Neodiprion lecontei: one gene and its partners. The protein of the gene in region 4 interacts with the protein of the main gene of each other region in a pairwise test. Links are inferred from orthologs where the notes say so. Each region holds a gene or a part of one and is shown on either strand. Other genes may lie near its edges. The genes, in order: myocyte-specific enhancer factor 2, protein mothers against dpp, protein hairy and homeotic protein ultrabithorax-like.

Evidence for each region.
Region 1: the proteins of homeotic protein ultrabithorax-like (region 4) and myocyte-specific enhancer factor 2 interact in a protein complementation assay, tested with the Drosophila melanogaster proteins (2 studies listed by BioGRID). The link is inferred for Neodiprion lecontei from reciprocal best matches to the Drosophila melanogaster genes Ubx and Mef2.
Region 2: the proteins of homeotic protein ultrabithorax-like (region 4) and protein mothers against dpp interact in a protein complementation assay, tested with the Drosophila melanogaster proteins (2 studies listed by BioGRID). The link is inferred for Neodiprion lecontei from reciprocal best matches to the Drosophila melanogaster genes Ubx and Mad.
Region 3: the proteins of homeotic protein ultrabithorax-like (region 4) and protein hairy interact in binary tests that used the Drosophila melanogaster proteins (3 or more experiments, as listed by UniProt). The link is inferred for Neodiprion lecontei from reciprocal best matches to the Drosophila melanogaster genes Ubx and hry.

The regions. Positions count from the first base shown.
Region 1 is NC_060264.1:25,820,304-25,825,008, forward strand, and holds the start of myocyte-specific enhancer factor 2, read left to right. Parts: upstream 1-1,704; 5' UTR 1,705-2,111; intron 2,112-2,437; exon of another isoform or gene 2,438-2,631; 5' UTR 2,632-2,713; intron 2,714-4,705. Other genes in the region: protein mono-ADP-ribosyltransferase PARP16, read right to left, coding at 1-275. UniProt on the Drosophila melanogaster protein: Transcription factor that could be a key player in early mesoderm differentiation and may be required for subsequent cell fate specifications within the somatic and visceral/heart mesodermal layers.
Region 2 is NC_060262.1:38,138,939-38,146,974, reverse strand, and holds the start of protein mothers against dpp, read left to right. Parts: upstream 1-2,014; 5' UTR 2,015-2,884; intron 2,885-3,078; exon of another isoform or gene 3,079-3,081; 5' UTR 3,082-3,285; intron 3,286-6,577; 5' UTR 6,578-6,679; coding exon 6,680-7,926; intron 7,927-8,036. Other genes in the region: stress-induced-phosphoprotein 1, read left to right, coding at 1-70.
Region 3 is NC_060261.1:36,901,498-36,907,314, forward strand, and holds protein hairy, read left to right. Parts: upstream 1-1,747; 5' UTR 1,748-2,263; coding exon 2,264-2,410; intron 2,411-3,177; coding exon 3,178-3,273; intron 3,274-3,422; coding exon 3,423-4,259; 3' UTR 4,260-5,288; downstream 5,289-5,817. UniProt on the Drosophila melanogaster protein: Pair-rule protein that regulates embryonic segmentation and adult bristle patterning. Transcriptional repressor of genes that require a bHLH protein for their transcription (e.g. ftz).
Region 4 is NC_060260.1:3,090,395-3,095,223, forward strand, and holds the start of homeotic protein ultrabithorax-like, read left to right. Parts: upstream 1-1,814; 5' UTR 1,815-3,002; coding exon 3,003-3,675; intron 3,676-4,829. UniProt on the Drosophila melanogaster protein: Sequence-specific transcription factor which is part of a developmental regulatory system that provides cells with specific positional identities on the anterior-posterior axis. Binds the consensus region 5'-TTAAT[GT][GA]-3'.

The DNA of each region.
Region 1 (4,705 bases), on a different chromosome or scaffold from region 4:
CTGAGGCATGAGTCATATCTGTAGCTGTGAGAGGCAGCGACGAAGAGAGACCACTTTATGTCAGCAGCGACAAGATCTCGCTCCAAAATTGTTTTCAACAAGAGTACTTTCTTCTTTGGGCATTCTTCTATCGTGAGCGATCCGAGGGGCGGAGGAATAGTCTGAGGGTCGAACCCAAGGCGGCTGGTCGAGCTGCAACAGTCCTCCTCAGGGTCGAATTTCACCTTTGCCTTGAACTCGGCATCGCCGCTCGTCGCGTTCGTCAAATTCGCCATTTCGCAAGAGGACAACGAAAGAATGTTCCCAGCTCACACCGAGCCCTGAATTGTCATCGCATTCGAGGTGGAGAAAAGAAAAATACCGATACCACCTGAAAAATTTATCCCGGTGAACCGACACCCTGGTATCCACCGACGAAAATAAGTATTCTAACCTCAAAGGGTCGACCGACAGCTGCACAAATTCGTCTCCGTCAGCTAACCTGCATCAGCAGAGGCTGTGATGACCGACGTTTTCAGCACAGACTGTATTGTGGCTCCGCCGGTCAAATTTTTGAGATTACAATACCTGAGAAATATATCGCGGTGTAAGTTGTGTGATAAACGGTGCGTGCGTAACAAGGTTCTAAGGCAAATGTTGATGCGTGTAGTTTGTGGGGTATTTTTCTTATCAGTTTTGTTTGATTGTTTTCATTTGATTTTCCGTGTCAAAGAATTGGATTGTGATCTTGCTTACGTCTTCGTTCACGAGGAATTTATTTGGTAAAAAAATTTATTATGTATATATGCACAATTAATCTTTCACATATTTTCACCAGGGTGTTTTTTTTTTTTGTTTTTCCACACAACGCCGGTATTATACACGCGACGATCACGCAACTTTTCGCATTTGTTTCTTATATCTCTTGGCCCTCTGTTAAATCGTTTGAAAAAAGACAATAACTGTAATTCGATAAATGTAATTAAATTGTATTAGATCGTGACAGTTAGCCTGCCTGTGTAATTTTGAGAAATGTTACGAGAAAAATCTACCCATCGATTGTTCGTTAATTTGTATTACACATATATTCGGCATTAAGACGTTTCTTATTTTATAGACTTTCGATTTGGAAACCAGGTGGATTAATATTAAACTGACTTTAGGTATGTCGTTAGTTTCTTGCCCTTTTTTCCCGTTGGAATTTAAAGAATAAAGACTAACTTTAGTGGCGATAGAAGAAACAAACAAGAGTATGTATATTACAGGAGATCAAAAGATTCCCTCTGTAATATAATTCTGATCGTTTGATGGTGGTGTTAAATAATGACAACGCCAAAGATAATATCGTATCGAAAAAATTGAATAATCGTGCGTTCACGTACGAGTCGTTCGAAAAATCGGACGTTTTGAATTTCTGCCGCGCTAAGCGAGGCCTGCGCAATGGATACACATTTATCGACCGCACCGCAATTATCTCTAGAATACGGCAATCGGCCGCGCGCGAATAAATTCCCCCACATCAGCCTTACAAATTCCCCGAGAATAATGAATTTGTTCAAAAGTAACAAGGGGGTAAATAACCGGAATAAAAGAGTGTGATAACAGTGAGTTTTGTCGAGGTGATTCGCGAGGGATATTTACAAACGAAAATAGTGCAAATTGAGCGTGACCAGTCCGACAACAACGTGAGTATAATATTATTCGAAAAGTATGTTCGAAACATATGTCCAACGAAAATCCGCGTACGGATTTGTCGACGGCGGGTTGGCCGGACTGCGGCTCAATGTCATGCGTTCAAGGTAAACTATCGGTGACGTCAGTGGACGTCACTTAACAAGTGGGAGTGTATGGAAGTAGCCTCTGGGAACGGTTGGTTTTCGGTCGACGTTCCGTAGTCGGTCTCGAAGTTGAAGAAAAATCTGAACCGAGGTGACCGAGAGGCGGGCGAGTCGTTTCGCGGGACAGCTATGTAGACTAGGGGAAAACAATTTTCTGTGTTAGTTTACACGTGGTGGTACGTTATGAGCGCGTTATGTACGTGGAAAATCACCGAAAACAAATTGCGCATGCCCCGCGCCCGATGACGTCATGAAAATTGTGGTTTTGATCAAACTCCTAGCTCGTTGATCATGGTTGTTCTTTTTTTTTCTTCTAATTTCTTTATTTTTTTATTATATTTATTATTTTTTTGCTTCTCCGTATCTTAAATTACACACACACATTGTATATGTATATATAGGTACATATATATATATATATATAGGTACGTACATAATATATAATACACATATTCGCAAGGTGTATATACAACGATATATCTATACGACGTACGTGTACACAGTGGAGACATAGGTATACACATAAACGCATACATACATATGCATTTATATATATATATATATATACATGTGTATATATATACATATACGCGGTATATTTGTACACATAATATACACAGGTTTGAAAATATATTAAAAACAAATAAATAAATAAACACACTCACACGGTTCCAACATGTTGACGTACAAAGTGATATAAAATTAAGAGAAAATAATAATAATAACAATAATAATAATAAAAAAAAAAAAACCTGGTGTTAAGTTTTTGTTTTCTGTTTTTAACTATAAATATTATTATATACATGAAAGACAGATTAAAAGTCGAAAGGATAATATTGTGCACCTATACCAGAGGGGAACTTGCGACGGAGAGAATCGATTCTCGTTCAATATTCGTGAGTATTATTTATTATTGACCCCCATTTTATTCGCAAGATATGTACATGATACAGTATTACCTATGCCTTCGTACATAAATTCGCGTATATTTACATGCGCGTATATCATCGGCTCGTACACGGATACCGCATGTCCGGTTCTCCGTGTAATTTTTCTCAATACTCGTGCTACACCGTAGTAACAATCATTACAACACGCATGTATTTGTCCGTGGACTTTTTCACGCAACGGCGTCGTCGGCTCTCGTACCGATCCGTCGTCGTCGTCGTCGTCGTCGTCGTAGACATGTTGTATCGTGTTGGAACGACATGGCCTTCACACATACGTACGCATGACATTGAGTTTCCTTTTCGGTAGGTAGCGAAAATAATGATTCTCACCAGATACGAGAGGAGAGAGGAAAAGGAAAAATTTCAGATCGGCTATAAACACGTCAATTATTGGGTGGATGAGAAATACGGGAAAAAGGGGGGAAACTGGAATTGATGGAAGTTGAAGATAAATTGCTTCGATTATTGGTCAATAATCGATGCAGCGCTACAATTTCAATTACAGTTTTCACAAACAATATATCCCAAGTTACATGTTCACGACGGTGAATATTGTCGGATCGGAGTCGACTGAGCTGGTCGTAAATTTACCAAGTCAAACAACAAACCCAGCGGCAGAAGTTCTCTTATTTTCACACACGTTGATACATGCTAGCGACTGCGAGTTACATGTGTCGTATGCGCATAACAGAGTAACTTCGGACGATGTGTGTAGATCGATTGTTAACACCGCGCGCGACTTTGGTGCAAAAAAGTATCGTCGTCGCTTACCTCCCGTTTCTCACGTCGTTTCTCAATATTTGCTCCACATTTGTCTCGAAGAATTTCAATATCGTCGCCGTTACTCGCAGTCGAGCTTAGTAACTTTGCAACTATTATATAGTAGTTTTGTTGATTGAAGACTGATTGTATTTTGTTTTGTCATTATGACTGCGAGAGCGAATTTGTTCGTGTACTTGACTCCTCGACGGTGTTTACTTTGCCTCTTACCTCTGTTTGCCACCGTACTAAACATTGTTTACAATACATCGTATGATTTATCTCCCACGTAACTTCTTTTCCATAACTTTATGGCGTTTCTATATTCCTTTTTTTTTTACTTCCCACCCTTTCGTCGTTCTGTCTGATAAAATAACAGCCCAACGTAGCGAATTTATTCTCGGAGTGCATCTCGGTCTCAGAACTTTGTTCGATCTTACTTTCCCATCCTTCACCAGTCGATACCAGTTACACATTTTTCATTCGTTTGTACTCTGGCGTCGATTCAGTTTGTAAAAGTTCTCTTCTATCATATTGCAAGAAATCTGGAGATAGGCGTTGAATCCGATTGAACCAATCGTCGAGTTCAGATTGTCGATACACCTTCAGAAGTCAATTTGTACTCAGCTGTAAGTCAGTTCCGATGTCTGAAACTTGGAAAAAAGTGTCAGTCTCTAGAATCTCAGTATTCATTTGGTCACATTAAGATTTTTCGCATCGAAAAGTGATTTTCTTTTCTGTCTTATCACGTTTCTCGAGTATTGCAAGTTACAATTGAATAACTAAATTCATTATTTCCAAGTTCAAGTTGAAGCGTAATTAATCGTTCGGCAAGCACAAGGTTTACGCGCTATGGTGATTCAGAGTTGACGATCTGAAAGGAGTTGAGAATATTTTTTTTACGATGAACGTGCAGATAGATGTTTATCAGTTAATTTATAACACGGTATTAAATTTGCGTTACCTGTTCGTTTGATCTGTAATCAAGATGTTAATTTTCTTCTCTTTTTGTTTCGTTTTTTTTTTTTTTTTTTGCCTTTTTTTTGTCATTGGTGTTACTGCCATTATTATAATTATTACAATTTTTATTATAATTATTATACGTTCTTTATTTATTTTTTTGCCTCGTTACTTTATTTATTTTAAACGAACGTGGCCGCCGTCGCCACCTAGAATCGA
Region 2 (8,036 bases), on a different chromosome or scaffold from region 4:
TCTGAAAAATCCTGACATTGCGGCAAAAATACAAAAGCTTCTTGAATCCGGACTTGTAGCAATACATTGAAAAAGACAGGGGAATGGAACAGCCAACAATATCTATAAGAATTTACCAGCTGTACCCGCCTTAGAAGATAACAACGTAATACAATATAACATTCTATCATCGCTGTGTTCCTTCATTACGATGAAGACGGCTTTACATTTAGTTAATGATACGTTAATTTTACAATTTTTATCGTATTCTACATACAATTGGGTGAATGAGGTTTTCGACTCCAGCGAGTGCTTGCCTTTGCTGTTTTGTCTATTATATTGTATTGTGATGCGATTTGCTAGTCAAATCGGTCAAATACCTTTTCTCGATTTTTCAGAAAAATCTGCAAATACGAATTACGAATTTCCCAATGTCTGAAATTGGGCAAGTTTTTTGTATCGGTAAATAATTGAGCTAAAAGGAATAATAAATATTGTCGCATTGTACTTTACTACGAATAGTTTTATTTACTATATTGCTAAATTCGTTCCAAAGTTTACATATTTCCGTGTATAAATTATGTACCCCAAGATGGTACCATGCTGTCTATAAATTGTAATTTTACTTATCTCTTTCAAGTATTCCTGTATTTATTTTATTATTCTTTTCAACCTCGTTGCATAATTTTTCGTCTTCTCCACGTAAACTCGCAAGTGGTAGACTTTTTATATGTTGATGGGTATGCATACAAGCAATCTATCGGGTGACGACTAACCAAATGATGAGTAAGGATATTACAGGAAAGAGAAAAGGAAAAAATAAATAAATACTAATTATGTGAAAAACGGAAAATATACTATGAAATAGTTCATAACGTATCTAATAATAAAAATAAGACAAAAAAATTTTAATTTACTAGCCCATGAAGGCAAGTTCTGTAACGCATACGCTACATTTGGCATTAACATCCGATTCCTCCATCACCTGAATACATGTTGCGAGGGGAGACAAAAAGTGTCGTGTTTCAAGATAATCGAGGAATCAGGTGTAAATACCAGGTGATCTTTCCAAATTTTAACATGAAACTTCAACAGGAAAAGCCATCATATTCATCGTCGTACGTAGCCATTTTTTTTTTTTTTTTTTTTTAGGCAAATATTGATTGCGATACTTTATCTTGAATTGTGCTGAAAAGTAAAGTACAACCGCTTATTATTTATTCCAATAAAGATAATAAATATAAATACATAATGTAAACATACTACATGCATATATAACAACATTATCTATATCTATTGATAATTAAAATATTGTATACACATATTTGTTCTTATTATGCCTCTGATCTTGTAAATGCGTTGCATTGTGTTGTCAAAATATAGCATAGGCAAAAATAGCATGCAATTGCCAAAAATAAATGCAGAAATTGCGTTCTCTTTGCAGAGTTGATCTTACGGTATGACGTCCCATTTCGGAGTTTCGGGGGACTCCGTTAGTGCAGCAAGGCGAGCGATAAGGCCCTGAATACCTTATCATCATCTTTACATACATGCCCTACCAATTGGAATCATCCTGAAACGCCGTCGATGAATTTACAAAACAAGGTCAGCCCGACCGAGATAAAACAGTGGTTTCTTGCATGCCTAAAACGTGCGGAAACGTTTTGCGAGCATGGCAATTTCCTCTTCGACTCAAAATATCAGTCCTTGACCGAAGGCTATCAAAGACGGTTACCCTAATGGGGTATTCGTGCGATGATGGGATTGCGTGTTGAACGCCTCCCGCCGATAAAGAAGCTACCGTATCGTTTTAAACACGGCTTCTCAACGCCTCAGGCCCACTTACCTGCCGATCAATGGTCACGAAAATATGCCCCTGGGATAACAGTCTAAGTTTTTTCGTCAACCTCGTAATTATCAGCGACGTTGAACACCCAGAGAATGCCTACATAAATCAATCGAACCAGTCAATCAGTTTCCCGTTTCACAACGGAGTCGCCAGACATCGTCGAGATCCGCGAACGACTAGCTGCTGCAGCTGCTGCAGTAGCTGCAGTAGCTGAATGCGGTTTGCGGGGAGGGTCTGAAGCAAGCGCAACCCGTGCGGATATTCGATTAGCCAGAGAAGAGCCGAATGAGATGTGAAAAGGGGGGATTCGATCGCGTTGTAATGAGAATTGGTGCGAGCGCGGCGCACACGCGATTGTCGAGTGACGTGCGTCGGCGGTGCGCGCGTGTCGTCGACCGTTGGGTTAGTGGTTGGGATCGCCTCTGTTCTCGGTCACCGGGGGCGCCGGTAGCTCTGGCTATGGCTCTGCCTGTTTGAGCCTTCGAGCAGCGGCGGCGGCAGCATCAGCAGGCAGTCGAGGCAGTGACGCGCGTCGCCCGTAAACACGGCCGCCATAATGCTATGCGACATCATGGACGGTGGTGTGTAAACATTAGTGACAAATAACGTGCTCAAAAATGTGAATCGTTTCCCGAACTTCCGTTTCAGCAACGCGGGTGTTTAATCGTGCGTGTCGGCCAGTACTCCACAGCGCGCACCAGTCTCGCCGAACTCGGCCAGCAATTACGACCGTCGTCTTGCTCGATACCGCGGGTTAATCTTGTGCTTGTGCCCCTCGCGAGCCTGCTAGCCTCGCGAGGAGTAGTCGGTTCGTTCCTTCGACCGAGAGAGCCTAGCGCCGTCCACTGCATGCATGCCCACATTGGCGTGGGGCAGCGGCGACTGATTTCACACAATATCGGCCAGTCTGACGGACGGGGAGCGAATTCCGCCGATAGCCGAGGCGCATCGTATCGCCTACCTGCCTCGCTCGATCCGCACGAGAGTTTAGATCGATTCCGGGGGATTATCGAGCCTGCGTCGATCCTCGTTACGAAATACACGCATATACACGAAGTGAGTGATTTTATTCCCCGGCGTTGTTTTGTTTCGCATCCTTCTTTTTTCTATTTTTTTGTTTGATTCTTCTCATTTCAATATTACTTTACCTTCGCCGCAACTTACTTAACTTTGCGTTTACTTTTGCAATTTTTCTCACTATTCGCTTCTTCTTACATTCTTCTTCTTTTTATTTTCAATCGCCCTTAAAGCAGGGGATCGTCGGATCCTGAGGAGAACGTTGGGAGATTTACGCTACGAGTAACCGCCAACAAACAACAAACGCTCGCCGCACGCACTCTGACTCGTTGCAATTGACAGTGACGTATCTTTACTCGAGGTGCTTCTCGGAACCCCGTCCTTTCGCCAACTTAATCGTCGAAGGAGAAAAACCAGCAACTCGCATTCGCGGAGAGAACGTGAGTAAATGTTACATGTCACGAATTGCCACACAACTCGATTCATTCATACATTCATTCTCTTACGTAGAATATTCCACAGGGTTGTCGTTGTTGTTGTTGTTTTTTTTATCTTTTTTTTCTTTCTTTCTCCGTCGAAGTGTAAATTTATTTCAATTTTTCGTCCCAACAAGTTTCTAAGTGCTATCACTTTCACCCTGCAACGTATATAATATGTATCCGAACAATGAAACGATGCAAATTACATTGGTATACATCTCGAAACTAATTACCGATTTCCGAATGCTAAGAACAAATATCCACGTCCCTCGAATCGGATAATTCCAATATGAATTTTAAAGCCTGTCACTTGTTTTTTCAATTTGTGTCTTACGCTTTTTCATGTTTATTTATTCTCGCTGACCAAATCTTTTACCTCCGAGATCTGACCGTCTTGACCCACGATTTCACCCTGCACGCGGTACAGATTAGGTATGGAATAATTAATTGATTAACCAATTAAGAAACAGTTTCTTTTTCTGTGATTCGATAATTTTATTGTTTACTTTTCAATTTTCACACACGTACCGAAGTATACACGCGAACAACTCGTTACCGCGATTTATCAAACGTACACAACATCCGTGTAATTGGTTTTTTTATAATACGTAAAATTAAATTTCTTTATCGTTCGCAACAGTCTGCCACTATTATATGTACATTACATGTATAAGTATGTATAATTTACAGAACAGCGAGAGAGGGAGAGAAAGAGAAAAAGAGACTCGCGCGACGGATCAAAGAGGGGTGAGGGTAGGGCGGCGATCGCAATAATAATAGAATAAATAAAGAAATTCGATTGAAAGAAATATTCTCGGAACTGTAGTGCCGCTCTGCTCTGCTCTGCCACTTGCCCCGGGTAGTGATTATATATATATAAAATATATATATATGCATATACACTTACACACGTATGCATATACATATATGTACCGTGGTGGTGCAGCAATGGAGAAGGAAGGAAGGAAAAACTGATCGACGAACACGTGTTAATTCGTATACGAAAGCAGCGGGAGTTCGTTTTCAAGTCTCATTTAAGCCGCGTTGTATTACACGCAATAGGGTTCAGACCCCATAGCTCTATGGCGTAAAGTTACGGGGGCGACAAGCGAGTCGTTTCTATCACTTTCGCGTTTTTGTTTTGGTTTTTTTTTATTTATTTTTTTGTTTCATTCAAAGAAGATTGCATTTGCAACCGTGCGACGCGCTCTGTATCGAAATTCCTACAGGTATCCATTGACGAATCGCCGTTCGTAGATATACAGAGTTTGGGATTTCTTTTGCTCTATATTTCGAACGATCGGTCGAATTATTATAGTCGCAACATCCTGTCCGCGTGTAATAATAATACCAGGTGGGTGAGAGAGAAAAAATTCTTGCAGGCGTGAGTCGTCTGGCGCAGTTTTGCGAAAATTTTTCATTTCAGTACAATTTGTTGGAAAGTTGCAAAGCAATATGATGCGTCGAAGGTGAACAGTCGTGTTCTACGTAACGGCACGGCCGAAACTCTGAATGACCGAACGTAATGAATGACGTACGTGTACATGTATTTATACGTTTGTACATATACGCATGCGTTTGTTAATTTCTTTTTCTTTTCTCGTATTATGTTTTATCAATATATTCTTATTATTGCCCATTTATCATCGTCATTTGATTTCGTTGAAGTGCTCGGCAAGTGCAATGACTCACTGTAAGCGGAAAAACGGCAACTGATAGGAAGGGTGAACGAGCACGTTGCTACGCCCGCCCCTTGCCCGCCAACCTTATACTCTACTCTACTCTCTTATTATACGCTCCTCTAACACACTGCGCGTGTAATTTCGCGCCGTTTTTTTTACTACCGCGCCACGTCAGTTACTCTATTCATGTACGTATGTACGTACATAAGTTCCTCTTACGCATATTACACGTAACACGAACACGCGCGGAAAGGCGCACGCGTATCTATCCAACGCTTTGCATTAAACCCTGTTTCATTAAATTCTGCGTATAAAATATAGTGGATTCTGCAGACCGCGCGGTGCTACGCGGAGTACGCAAACGGCGCGCAGAGCGTAAGATCCATACTTTGAACCTCCACGAAATTACGTACTTCAATTGGAACGTGTAAAACATATAATGTATATAATTCTAATTTGGTGTAAAGAATAAAAATAGATCACAGGTGGATCAAAAGTTTATCACCGCGTCGGGGAAAGAAAAAAATCTATTATTCTTACCGCCGACTATATAATTGTTTAATTATAGGCTACTTTTCTCTTTGGGTATATAATCACGTTAAAAATCCGTTGTAAAATTTTTATTTCAAATCCTTCAAAACCAGTTTCTTCAATTCTACGGATCGCCACTAAATTGCGGACAACTTTTGGTAAATATGTACTGCACATTCTACGATCTTTTTCGGGTGTTCGGTTTGCAATGTAAATATTACACATATCACGCAAATATATTTATATGAATATATGTATTTATTTGTAAAAGAAATGCTGACGGTTAGCCAAATGATTAATCACGATCGCCTGCAGATGTTTACTCAACTGCGTCACCAAAAAACACTCATATAATATGAGACAATAGAGCACTCATAGACTATTATTATTATTATTATTATTACTATCATCTGTGAACGAATCGAACGGTAGATATTTGAAAAAATTGCCAGGTCTTCGGAGTTACGAGAATCTTAATTAACGGCTTGCCAACATAATGCGCTGGAGACACAATGAATAACCATCGAGGTATCGAGTGTTCGCAGAAACTTTGAAATTCAGGCATTCGTTCAACCTGTTCCGCAGGGTTTCATTACCTGAGAACGCTCGACGACCCTTCTTCCACCTGACTGACCCGTAACTAATTTGAACCCTGCAATCCCCATCAGCTGGCTATTGTTTTTCCGTAGTTCAAATATTTTTGCAAGATCGTGTCAACCAATGAATTGAATTGTAGTATTTTATGAACAGACGATGATTATAGATGAACACATATTAGAGTTAAGAAATTATCTTTCAACCGAATATGTGACTGATGTAAACAAAATTTATTTGTTTCGTGACGCTTAAACTAAACATATAAAATCTAACCGCGGTGATTTATGTCCAACTTCGATATCTCTAAAACTGGTATCGTGGCGGATTATGGAGGAAAGATGAAAAAATTCTGTTAATTTCTCTAAAGAATTTTTATACCAACGAACAATGCACCAGCAATCGAATTGAACAAAAAAAAAATAAAAATTCCGTTTCGTTTTCAGGTGGAAGGTGGAGACGGACGAGGTCTTAATACTCGCGAACAGGATTCAAACCCCGGAATCGACGACCGTTTTGAAAATATTCTGAGCCAGTAATAAATCGCGATGGACGACGAGGAGGGTTCGTCGAGTTCGGGTCCGATGTCGTCCCTGAACAGTTTGTTCTCGTTCACGAGTCCGGCGGTAAAGAAACTGCTGGGATGGAAGCAGGGCGACGAGGAGGAAAAGTGGGCCGAGAAGGCGGTCGACTCGCTTGTGAAAAAACTGAAGAAACGAAAGGGCGCGATCGAGGAACTCGAGCGAGCTCTGAGCTGCCCTGGGACGCCGAGCAAGTGTGTGACGATACCTCGGAGCCTGGACGGTCGGCTCCAAGTCTCGCACCGGAAGGGTCTGCCGCACGTAATCTACTGTCGCGTGTGGCGGTGGCCGGATCTTCAGTCGCACCACGAGCTCAAGCCCCTCGAGCTCTGCCAGTACCCCTTCTCGGCGAAGCAGAAGGAGGTCTGCATCAACCCGTACCACTACAAACGCGTCGAGAGTCCGGTTCTCCCGCCCGTTCTGGTCCCCCGACACTCCGAGTTTGCCCCGGGCCACTCGCTCCTTCCCTTCCAGCAGCTTCCGGAGCCGACAATGCCGCACAACGTCTCCTACTCGTCGAGCGGCTTCAACTCGGGGACAGGCGTCGGCGTGAACCCGACGTCCCCGCTCTCCTCCGTCGGCTCGGTGCCCAGTCCGGGCAGCACGACATCGCCGAACCCGCAGAGCCCTTACGGTAGTAACGGCCTGCCGGAAACACCACCGCCGGCTTATTCCCCTCCGGAAGACGGCTCGCAACACGGACAGTCGCCGCCTCCTGACGCCACGGCGATGGATACGGGTGGCTCCGCCGAGGTAGCACCCGTTTCGTACCAGGAGCCACCCTATTGGGCATCGATAGCCTACTACGAGCTGAACTGCAGAGTCGGGGAGGTCTTCCACTGCCAGTCGCACTCCGTTATCGTCGACGGATTCACCAATCCCAGTAACAATTCGGATCGGTTTTGCCTTGGGCAGTTGTCGAATGTAAACAGAAATTCGACCATAGAGAACACCAGGAGGCACATAGGAAAGGGGGTTCACCTCTACTACGTAGGCGGTGAGGTGTACGCCGAGTGTCTATCCGATTCGGCCATTTTTGTACAGTCCAGGAATTGTAATCACCATCACGGATTTCATCCCAGCACCGTATGCAAAATACCACCAGGATGCTCGTTGAAGATATTCAACAATCAGGAGTTCGCGCAGCTACTCTCGCAAAGCGTTAATCACGGATTTGAGGCCGTCTACGAGTTGACCAAAATGTGCACTATTAGGTGGGCCGAGAAGACCTGTTCTACCTATTTTGTCTTTATTAGTAGCAGAGAAAACCCCACTTTCAATAATTCCAGTCGAGCTCACAATCTCAACTTGAATTCTTATTTTT
Region 3 (5,817 bases), on a different chromosome or scaffold from region 4:
GGCTGCACGATGCGACCGCGAAGCTGAACAAATCAGCCTAGCTTGACTCGGGTGTGTATAGTACACGACCACAACGTCCACGGATGCGATAATCGTGAGGTAACCCGGACGTCGAATATCGATGCGACGATTAATCTGACGCGAAAAAAGAAACTCCAGGGACCCGGTACAATCAGAATCGCGATAGCGGACGAGAGACCCGCTCGTTCATTCCTCGTTAGACGGATCGACCCGACAGCCCCGCAGGCGATGCGTCGATTGCCGTCGATGATCGCATGAGACGATCGTACAGGTACGACCGGCTAATGACGGAGAATTTATCGCCAGCGTAGGTACGATGACTCTTACGATACCCCGTTTCAGCTGAATTTAATCACGAAGCCAAACCCAGCCCGTTACAATCTCGGTAAAGAGAGTATAACACCTGTAAGGGCGAACCTTGATCGTAGAAGGGTTAAAAAGTCTGTAAGAGATAAAAGTCGAAGTCCTTCAACGGAACGCAAAGACCCACCGATATCAAATATCGCGACCACGTAGCCCGAGCGCCAGAGGTCGAATGATCGTTTCGCCCCACCACAGACCAACTAAGCGGCACGCTCGACGCGAGTCGCGCTCGGTGAGTGGAGGGGGCGGCGTCTCGGCCAATGGGGATCGCGGCTGGCGTGCGACGGATCGAATAGGAGCTCGCCGATTGGCCGGTGATGTTTCGCGTCTCTGTCGCTCGCCCGTCTCTCGAGCTCTCCGTCGGCGCGTAGCCTCCCCCCTCCACTTTCCCAAGCTCGCTATACTTGCTCCTCTCACTCTCCAGCCTCCCCTCGACGCGTGCGTTTATCGCCGTCCCACTCGCGCCTCGGATGCACCGCGTTATCTATTTCGCTCCGGGGGTCGCGAGCCGCTTCCCGGCGCGACTCGCCCTCCTCCGACCCCTCGCCCACGTGCACGAGACTATGACGAGAACGATGCAAGAAACTCCGCACGACTGACACACTCAGAAGGAGAGATCAGCCAGCCTTGTTGCGTGCAATCCGGTCCGTATAAACGCCGAGTAGTTTGAGCGGTGCCATGACGAACCGACGAAATTGTAAACCTTGACTTAGGCTGCTGGTACGATTCCGCGACGTTTTTACCAACACACCGGATATCGCGATAACCCCGCTCGTATTACTTATCGCGTCAGTGAATCACATCCCGAGTGCAAAGAACTCCGATCAACCGCAAAGAAAGCAGGATTTCCTAATTCTCATATTCTCGCGTAACCGAGTGCTCTGCACGCGACTATTAATAACGCGGCTAAAGTACGGCGTAGTTGGACGATTCACGATGTCATGACTAGCAATTACACTTGGCGGAAAAACCGCTTCATAAACTCAGACTCACGATTATTCCGCAAAAGACATTTCTCGGGGATGCCTCGAGCTTGCTACATTATTCCGCGTGTCGCGATCCCACGCGATTGTCGATCTACTCGCACTTGCGGAATATTCCAAACACCGGGGAAACGAAACACGACCTACAGATAAGCCGCAGACTGCCGGGAGTGCAGGTATAGTAGAATGTGTAGTAGGTAAATGTGTAGATATGTGCGGATCTCAAGGCAACCGCAAAGCTCGACGGCCAGACGCGTCAGGACGAGTCGCTTCGAGCAGGCCGGAGGTGGGGGTCGAGAAGCGTGCAGCCGCGCGGCGCCGTCGGCCAAAAGTGGCTGCGGAGGGGCAGGGCGGGGGGGGGGGGGCCCGTTTCCCCCTCCCAGCGGTCGAGGACGGTCGGCTCGTTCGAGGAGTCGGAGTCTAGAGCCAGAAAACGTCGGACTGCAGCGAGTACGCGAGTCAGTCGAGCTCCGATGCGCTCAGCGACAGGTCGAGCCTAGGAGCGATCTAGCGATCTGGCAATTGGCCGCGGATGATTGAAGCTTCGACTTCGATTGCAATTTACGATAAAGAATTCCAAACTTTTTCATTTTACGAAATTGACCACCGATCGGATTACGGGACGAGTGTGGACGTTAACGAAAAAGAAAAGAACGTGGTTTTTAAGAATTTTTGGTTTTTTAATCAACAAAGTGATTCGTTCGCCGTCATCAATCGCCGTCGAAGAAGCTTTGGATTATTTTTACTACCTACCTGTGAAGTGTGAAATAATATATTAAATAAAAACGAAAAAACATTGTTTTTCAAAATAGTGGAGAGGATAGTTAAACTTGATTAAAACGAGATTGTATACGCCCGGTTTCGTCTCTCTGAGGTGAGATTATAACGTTTAAATCATGGTGACCGGAGTTGGTGCTACGATGCCAACCGGAGGTGTCACGGTGGGCTCTGCGCCACAGACCCAACACGTGCCTCAGGAGGCAGGACAACCTCCTGCTCAGACTGCGACTTCAACCACCAGACGATCCGGGGAAAATCGACGGGTTAGTGTCTCTTCTATATGTTCTCGAGATAATGGGAAACAAAAAGAAATCTTAAGAAATCTAGCGAAACATAAGGAATAAATTCGATAAAATCTTGAGCACGTTTCGGAGCTGTTGGATAGCTAGTTCGAAAAGAACACCCTAAAATCCCGACAAGGTTCTTGAAACGTTCCGATCGAGTCGTATAACCGGTTGGCTGGTCAAGAAATTGGAAAGATGGCAAGAATGGTCCGACTTTTTGCCTTTCGATGTGAAAAATTGTTCTCGTTTTTATCAGCGTTGTTTCTTCTTTTTTTCTTTCTGATCGAAATTTCAATCACTCAAAAGTTGCGAGATCCACTCCGCGTCTTTTCGGAGCGAATTATTCAAGGGTGTTCAGTTGGGTGCGGGTTAACGGAACACATTTGGATTTTCATTCTTATTTCGATTTTACGGAGACACCTGCAGCTTCTGATTTCTAAGAGTCATTGAACCGACGGACACTTGTCGTCTTTGAGGCGAAAATGTCTAGCGCTCGATTCGATTGTAGGCAGGCTGTTAAAGGCGACGCGTCCAAGTGCCTAGAGAAAGTAGAACGTCGCCGTCGGCCGGCTTTAATACCGCGAATAATCCCACCGGCCGGTTTCTTCTTTTCCACTGCTTTCCGGGTTGAAATTTCCTGTGCCTATTTTCGTTTTATTTATTTATTTATTTTTTTATTCTTGTAAGCACGCTTTAAATTCGTGACCCTGAAATTAACCGACGATGATGTTTTTTTTTAATTACAGAGCAATAAACCGATAATGGAAAAACGTCGTCGGGCTCGGATTAACAACTGCCTGAATGATCTGAAGACCCTGATACTCGACGCGATGAAAAAAGACGTAAGTATCTATAATTTTCGAATAGCTCAGCAGGTGAAACAGGCGTGAGGATTAGTCCTGTTCTCATTCTGTTTCTTCCGTATCCTTTCCTCTGCAGCGACAAGACTGCATTCGACTAACCACCGTGTTTCTCCAATTTCTGATTACAGCCAGCGAGACACTCGAAGCTGGAAAAAGCTGACATCCTCGAGATGACGGTAAAGCACCTGGAGACGTTGCAGCGTCAGCAAGTAGCTCTTGCGGCGGCGACAGACCCGAACGTGCTGAACAAGTTCCGTGCCGGATTCACAGAATGCGCAGGAGAAGTCGGCCGGTTCCCAGGCCTCGAGGCGTCGGTGAAGCGACGTCTGATGGCGCACTTGGCCTCGTGCCTGGGCCCCGTCGACTCGACGACGACGTCGAACGGCCAGAGCGGACAGCAGCCGGTGCAGCCGGCGGCGCCGGCGACCCAACTCCAGGTCCACATCCTGCCGCAGGTCGACGCAACACCCAGGATCCAGGTCCAGCAGTCGAACGGCATCTTCTTCACGAACGCCAACGGGACGGGACTCCAGTTGGTACCGACGCGCCTTCCCAACGGCGACATCGCCCTCGTTCTGCCCGCTGGCGCCAAGGCGACACCCGTCGCGTCACCGTCGGCATCGCCGGCCCCCGCGTCGCCTTTACCCACCCTGATACCGATCCCCCAGAGGACGGCCTCAACCGCGTCGGCATCCTCGTCCTCTTCCTCGACGAGCTCGACCTCCACCTCGGCCGGCAGTCCCGTTGCCTTTGAGGCGCCCCCGCCCACATTCAGGGAGCAGAATTCACCCTTCACCACCACCGCAAGCCACAGAGACGTCGCCACTTCACCGGCGAACGGATACACCAGCGACCCTGAGTTCGATCCCCGGGTCTACAGTGCGCCGCTGCAGAAACCTCTCGCTCTCGTTATGAGGAAGAGCGTCGTTCCTGAGGTCGAGGACAAACCCTGGAGACCTTGGTAAGGAGGAGATTTATCGAGGATTTACCTTAACGCGCCTGTGCGAATCGAGAGATGAGAGAATATCGATGACTTGGGCTTCCCCGACAAAGACTAATTGATCTTCGTTTTTATTTTGACTTTGATTGGTTGTTATTTTTTTTTTTTTTATGATTTTCATTCATTTTCTTATTTCCAACGAGAATGATGTAACGACTTAGAGCTTAGGGATGTAGAGAGTGAGTGTCTCCGCGATGTCGGCCAGTATAATAATTAACCTGTTGGGCAGTGCCTTGAACAGTGCCTTTGTTGTAGATCGTGTATCTAGAGTTGTTTTGTATATATAGAGATATTTGCCACTTGTGGACTTTAACCGAGACTAATTGACGATGGATAAGAGTAAGAAGAAATGAAAATATAAATGTGTAATGGTTTGGTTTTTTTTCTACTAACGGTTCGGAAACCTATTTGATTGAAATTCATTTGAACCTTGACGATCCGACAGTTTAGAAATGTAAATATAGTAAACTGTAAAGTGTAGGTATAACGTACGTTATTGTACCCCCGTCACCCTCTACGATTATTAAACTATATAAGTGCCTTACGCAACAAGAATCACTCAAGTCTTCCATTAATAATAATTAATACCTTATATGTTTCTTGTGTACGTAAATCGCGCTGCAGAGAAAAAAAACGTTTAAACAGAATAAAAATAAAATGTGTAATAACGTTGTGTAAATTATAATAGATGTATAAGAATTTTGTAATTAATTTGTTATGATTATCCGATTAGACGGTTTAGTGATGTAAGAAATTGCGAGATACGACGAGAAAAAGTTGACGAAAGAATATGTAGAGGAGAGGAGATATAGGTAGATAAGAAAGAGAAAGAGAGACAGAGAGAGAGAAAGAAAGGACGTATGTAAGAATGTTTTATTTATATTTATGAGTGTAAAAGATTGAGTTTATTATTCCTGTCTATTATGACGATAGAAAAGCACGCTTATTACAACAAGAGTGTCAAATAAATTGATCTCTTTATTAAAACCTTTAATTTGACTCGTCAGTTCAACCCCATCCGCCGCACACCTCCTTTCCCTTTGTACTTTATACTCCGACTCTGACGTCTTCATATCGTTTCACGAAGCCGATTCAGGCTCTTCTACTTGAAAATTCCAAAAAAAAAAAAAAAAAACCACGACGTTTCTGTAGTATTAGAATTCGTCAAACTATCCGAAAAATATATTTACAAAAAATGATCGGTCTGCAAAGTGCCATTAAAAATTGTTCGCTTCTTGAACAAGAAATCAGCTTCCTTCGGTCCGGTTCGCCGCTCGCATCTCACACACGTTGCACGTCTGGAGAGCGACTAACCGCGAGTTAAGTCAAGGACCCATCTTCTCCCACTCCTCGGCGTCCGGCTCTCGGTGAGCACGGTGCGCGCCTTTCGAGCACCAAAAAAAGTCCAGCGTGCGTCCTGCCGCCGAAACCCTTTGCAAGGACTTGCTGCCGCCTGGCGGGATGACGCGAAACCCTTCAGAGCCCGGATGTCTCGCCGAGGGTCCTGGCATTCTTTTTCGTCG
Region 4 (4,829 bases):
CCCGGTGATCCCGAAAATTCGGTTCATCAACCGAGCTTTCCGAGCTGCAGTTCGGGCAGCTAGTGGTGAGATTCCGTGGCGCATTTGCTCGTGCGTATACATAAACGTTTATGTATAGATATATATTTCTCTGTGTGTGTGTGTGTGTGTGTGTAATACGGGTGGCGGGTGGAAGAGCAAATGGGAAGCTCGAGCGGCACGGGAGGCTTATGATGGGCATTACTCGGATCGTTATGGAATAATTTACGAGGTGCGAACCGCGGGGGCGATAATCCAACGACATTTACATCCCAATAAACACTCGACCCGATACCAACGTCCAAGATACGGATGTGTGCGCTGGTTTAACGCGCGTGTTGCGCACACCTACGTTTTCACACATCAATCGGAGAAGCCGCGCACTTCGGTGTAATATGTGTGATACGGATATTATACGCGATGTAATAGACGCGATATTTGTGCGTATAAAGTATATTATATCGCAACGCCGTTGTAACCGTGTGCCGTGAATTTAATGTATGTAATACGGAACCAAGAAGAACTCATTTTTACGACATTTTAATTGTACGGTTGTCTAATTGGCCCGTAAAGCATAAAGTGCTCGTAAAAGCTTTAACGATATTATTATTACCATACGTTTGCCTGCCGCGTTTCGAGGCACGAGACCGGTTATCTCCGCGATTATTTTCATTCAACTGTTTCATTCGCGCCAGCTACACCGCGGTGTTCATTGCATTTTATTTCCTGCGTGTCTTTACCACCTTCTCTCGTTTCACGTATTTACTCGACTTCGTTATCGTGCCGAATTTCCTTTTTTTTTTTCGTAACAATTTGCGCGCTCCGCATTTTTGAACCGCTTGCTCCGATCAGTTTGCCGGAACTGAGAGAAACGGCGCCGAATTCCGTTCATTCACGGCTCGCCTTGTCGTCGCGGCAAAAGCGTCGGCAATAAGAGAGATAGTACGCAAAACGAAATGCGAATAAAGGAACAAGTGCGAGCGTCGATCGTAATAATAGAATTTGCAATTGAACGTCGTTGATGTTGGTCGTTTGAGGGCCGGGATGAGTATGTGGATGTTGGTTCGCGGCTCTCCTCAGAGGTGGCGCCGACGGTGAGCGGTCCTCCACGCGTGACACTCCGCGTGTGAGGTATCTCCCTCCAGGGTGAAAGCTCGAGGGTGGGAGAGGGGCGGTCCTGGCTGGCCTATTGGCGTCGTTCACCCGGGGAACTACTTTCCCCGGGCGTAGTAAGCTCGCAGCGTGGCGGCGCGGCGCTCGTGACGAATTCAATTCCGATTGGTCCTTAAGCAGCGCTCTTCCCCTACCTGCGACCCCATCGGTTCCTTGGCGACTCGTCCCTCTCTCTCGCCGTTCGTTCTCGGTCCTCGTCTGGCACCCAGCGGCGTATCCGCGGAGCGGCGTTCTCGATTTTAATCCGGCGGCACGTCGCCGAGTTTCTCGAGTAGCCAACAGGGGGCGCTGTAAGCAGCCCCGAGCTTTCCGAGGGGGAGATAGATCCAGCGTCGAGGGACGGCCCGGCCACGCGGAGGGGGGCGCGGCACGCGTGCGAGCGAGACGGGACGGTCGCCTTCCTCTTCCACGGGAGGGTCCCGGGGGCTGTGGAGGAGCGAGAGAGAGAGAGAAAAAGTGAGAGAGAGAGAGAGAGAAAGAGCGGACGTACCGAGTGGCGCGGCGGTACGCCGGGCGCGAGAAAAGCAGTGTGCCGTGGACCACCGCACCGGCATACCGTGGCCAAGTTACGATCCCCTTCCCAGGCTGCCGCATTTCGCGTACACCGCACACGCCGCTGCCGCTGCCGCCGCCGCCGCTGCCGCCGCTGCCCGCCCGCCGCCTCCACCGCCTCCGACTCTCACGCAGGGGACAGAACGGGACGGAACGACGCGGCACGACAAGGAGGGACGAGCGCGCCGCGCCAGTCGCGCTCGAGTCCGCGTAAACGATCCACCACCACGTTCGACCGAGTGCTAGTGCAGTTCCGACCGCCGAGTCGCGCGGCCTTATCTCGTTTCACGCGGTTTACACCCCAGCCTGGTGGTACCAACGGGTTCGGTATACATTAACGAGTAGAGACGGGGAACTACGGGCGCCACCTGCGCTCCTGCCGCGTGCTTGAGTCGAGCACCGTTTTTATATGCGATAATAGACAGCGGACTTCCTGTTGTATATTATAATACCTTTCAGACCGAAATGTCAAACGAATCGGGTGTATTGTAATCGCGGGGGTGATATAGAAGTAGAGGAAAAGGAGAGATAGATAGGGAGAGAGAAGAAGGAAGAGAAAGAGGGAAAGATAGAGAAAGAGAGGGAAATCTGGCGTTTGACGAAGGTCGCGTGCCAGGCGCACCGCGTCGCGGTTACCAGAGAGTCAAAGACGAGGAGGCAACTTTTATAGCCCGTCTTATTGCCGGGTTTTATTGCGTCGTTACGATTTAACGGTCGTCACTCTCCGCGTCGAGCGACTCTCCTCTGCCTCCAAACCACCGCAGCACCAGGGTGCTGGCTCAGCCGGCAACGTGGTACCGCGGCCGTCCGTTCACCGATCGCTCGTCTAATCGCCAGAAACGCGTCATGGTGTCCATTCCTGATCGGCACTCGTAGTGGCCCGTTGAGTACCGGAGGGCGCCCGCCGAAACGCCACCGAGACTCTCTCGAAATCTCGGTCGTGACCCTACCGCTCGGTGAATTTTACGGCCACTTGAACGGTCCTTACTTGCCTCACGGAATCCCCGCCACCTTCGCACCTTGCTCATCTGGTTCACCTGTCCTCGTTCGATCGCGGTTCCGTAGAGAGCCGTCGAGCCTCGCGATTCCGTCGCGATCCGTTGTACCAGCTTATACTCAGGAGTGGAGAACAGCTGACCGTACAGACTATTCCTCTAGCCGGGACCAAAGTCCCCTGGCGTTTTCTCGCCTTGGCGGAGGGAGGGTTTAATATTTCCAGTGAGGGTGTCCAGTGCAAGTGATTCAAAATACTAGGAATAATGAACTCGTACTTCGAGCAGACCGCCGGTGGCTTCTACGGTAGCCACCATCACCAGACCGGGGCCGGGGCCCAGCACCACGACCCCGCAACGGCAGCCGCTGCCTATCGCAGCACCTTTCCGCTCGGCCTTGGGATGTCGCCGTACGCCTCGACCCAGCACCATCATCACACGTCCTCCTCCCTGGGCATCCACCCCGGCGGCGGAACGAACACCAGGCCACCCCAGGACTCGCCGTACGACGCGAGCGTCGCGACGGCCTGCAAGATATACTCGTCGACCCCGGAGCACACAACCTCGTCCTACTCGTCCTCGACGGCGAAGGACTGCAAACAGCAGGACCAGTCGGCCCACCAGAACGGATATGCGGCCGTGATGGCCGCGGCGGCCGTCAAGGACGTTTGGCAGTCGGCAACCTCAGCGGCGAACGGACAGAGCAACCCGGTCGTCAGGCCCTCCGCGTGCACACCCGAGGGCACGAGGGTCGGAAGCTACGGCAGCCTCGTGGGAGGCGATCCTGCCTCGAGTCCGGGCAACAACGGCTCCTCGAGATCGTTAGCCTCCTCCTGGAACACCTGCAGCCTCAACTCGGCGGCCAGCCAACCGGTCGCCACCCAGCTCCATCAGCAACCCGCCGCGAATCACACCTTCTACCCCTGGATGGCCATAGCAGGTGAGTTTGTCACGCGCAATTTGCATCCCCGACCTTTCGCCGACCGGTCCCGATCCACCTAGTAGTAGCTGCAAGGGTGAAGAGCGACCGTTCTTAGTCGGAGAGATCGCACACGTGCTTGCCGCGTATAGGTACAATACCTACACTTCGGGGCTTTCGAAGCACGTGGACTCACGCTCGGTTAGACTCGCCGGCAGAGAAAGAGAGAGAGAGAGAGGGAGAGAGAGAGAGAGAGACCAGGGGACCAAAAACGCCTGCTCGGTGAATTCAAAGTAGCCAGGCGACGAACCGGGTAATTTGTGTATGCGAATGTACGCGCGGTTGTGTCTGTCTTTCGCGTACCTAATCGCGTCGTGACAAATCGCTATAGCCAGGATACTTGCGCGACGGCCGGATTTTGTTTGACCGAGATTCTCCACTTTGAATCTCAATAAAAACAATCGGCGCGTCTAGACTAGACGTGGGTGTCTATTCAGTGCCGGAGATAAATTGATCGTAAATTAGTCTGAATTCTGGGTCTCTGGTCGACCTACTACGCCTGCCAACTACCGGCTTGATTCATCCGCAAGAAAAAGTTTCCTCCCGTGAGACCGTTTAATATCCGATATCAATTTTCCCGCATGTCCTGTAACGCAAACCTCCGCGGATTGACGGGCCCTTAAGACGGCGGCAAAACGGAGTCAAGTGCGTGTAAAATTGCCGCCTGCATAAGCACGGTCCTTGTGTATACACGGGAGATAAGTGCTCCGTGGGCTCGTATACAAATGTCATCGTGTGTACGTAGGTACGTGTAATACGCCTATTGTACACAATGCAGGGGATGAGGGCGCGGAGCGTCCAATTGGGGGTTCAACCGATCAACTGCCTTTCTCTTGCCACTCACCCCTCCGGAACCTGAATTCCGGGAGTCAGCTGTTTATACTCTGATCTCAGTCACACGTACGCTGCTGGATGGCCGAGAGTCCGGTCCTTCTCTCTCTCTCTCTCTCTCCCTCTTTTCCAGTATGGGAATAATCACCGCTACACGAGGCTTACCTGTGTTCATCCCACATTCACGCACACTCACGCATACACGCGTATCGAGAGCCCGACTTGATCTCACTTTTCGACTCCTCTCTATACGCCTCTCCGTCCCGCAACCGCGCCGCCGAATT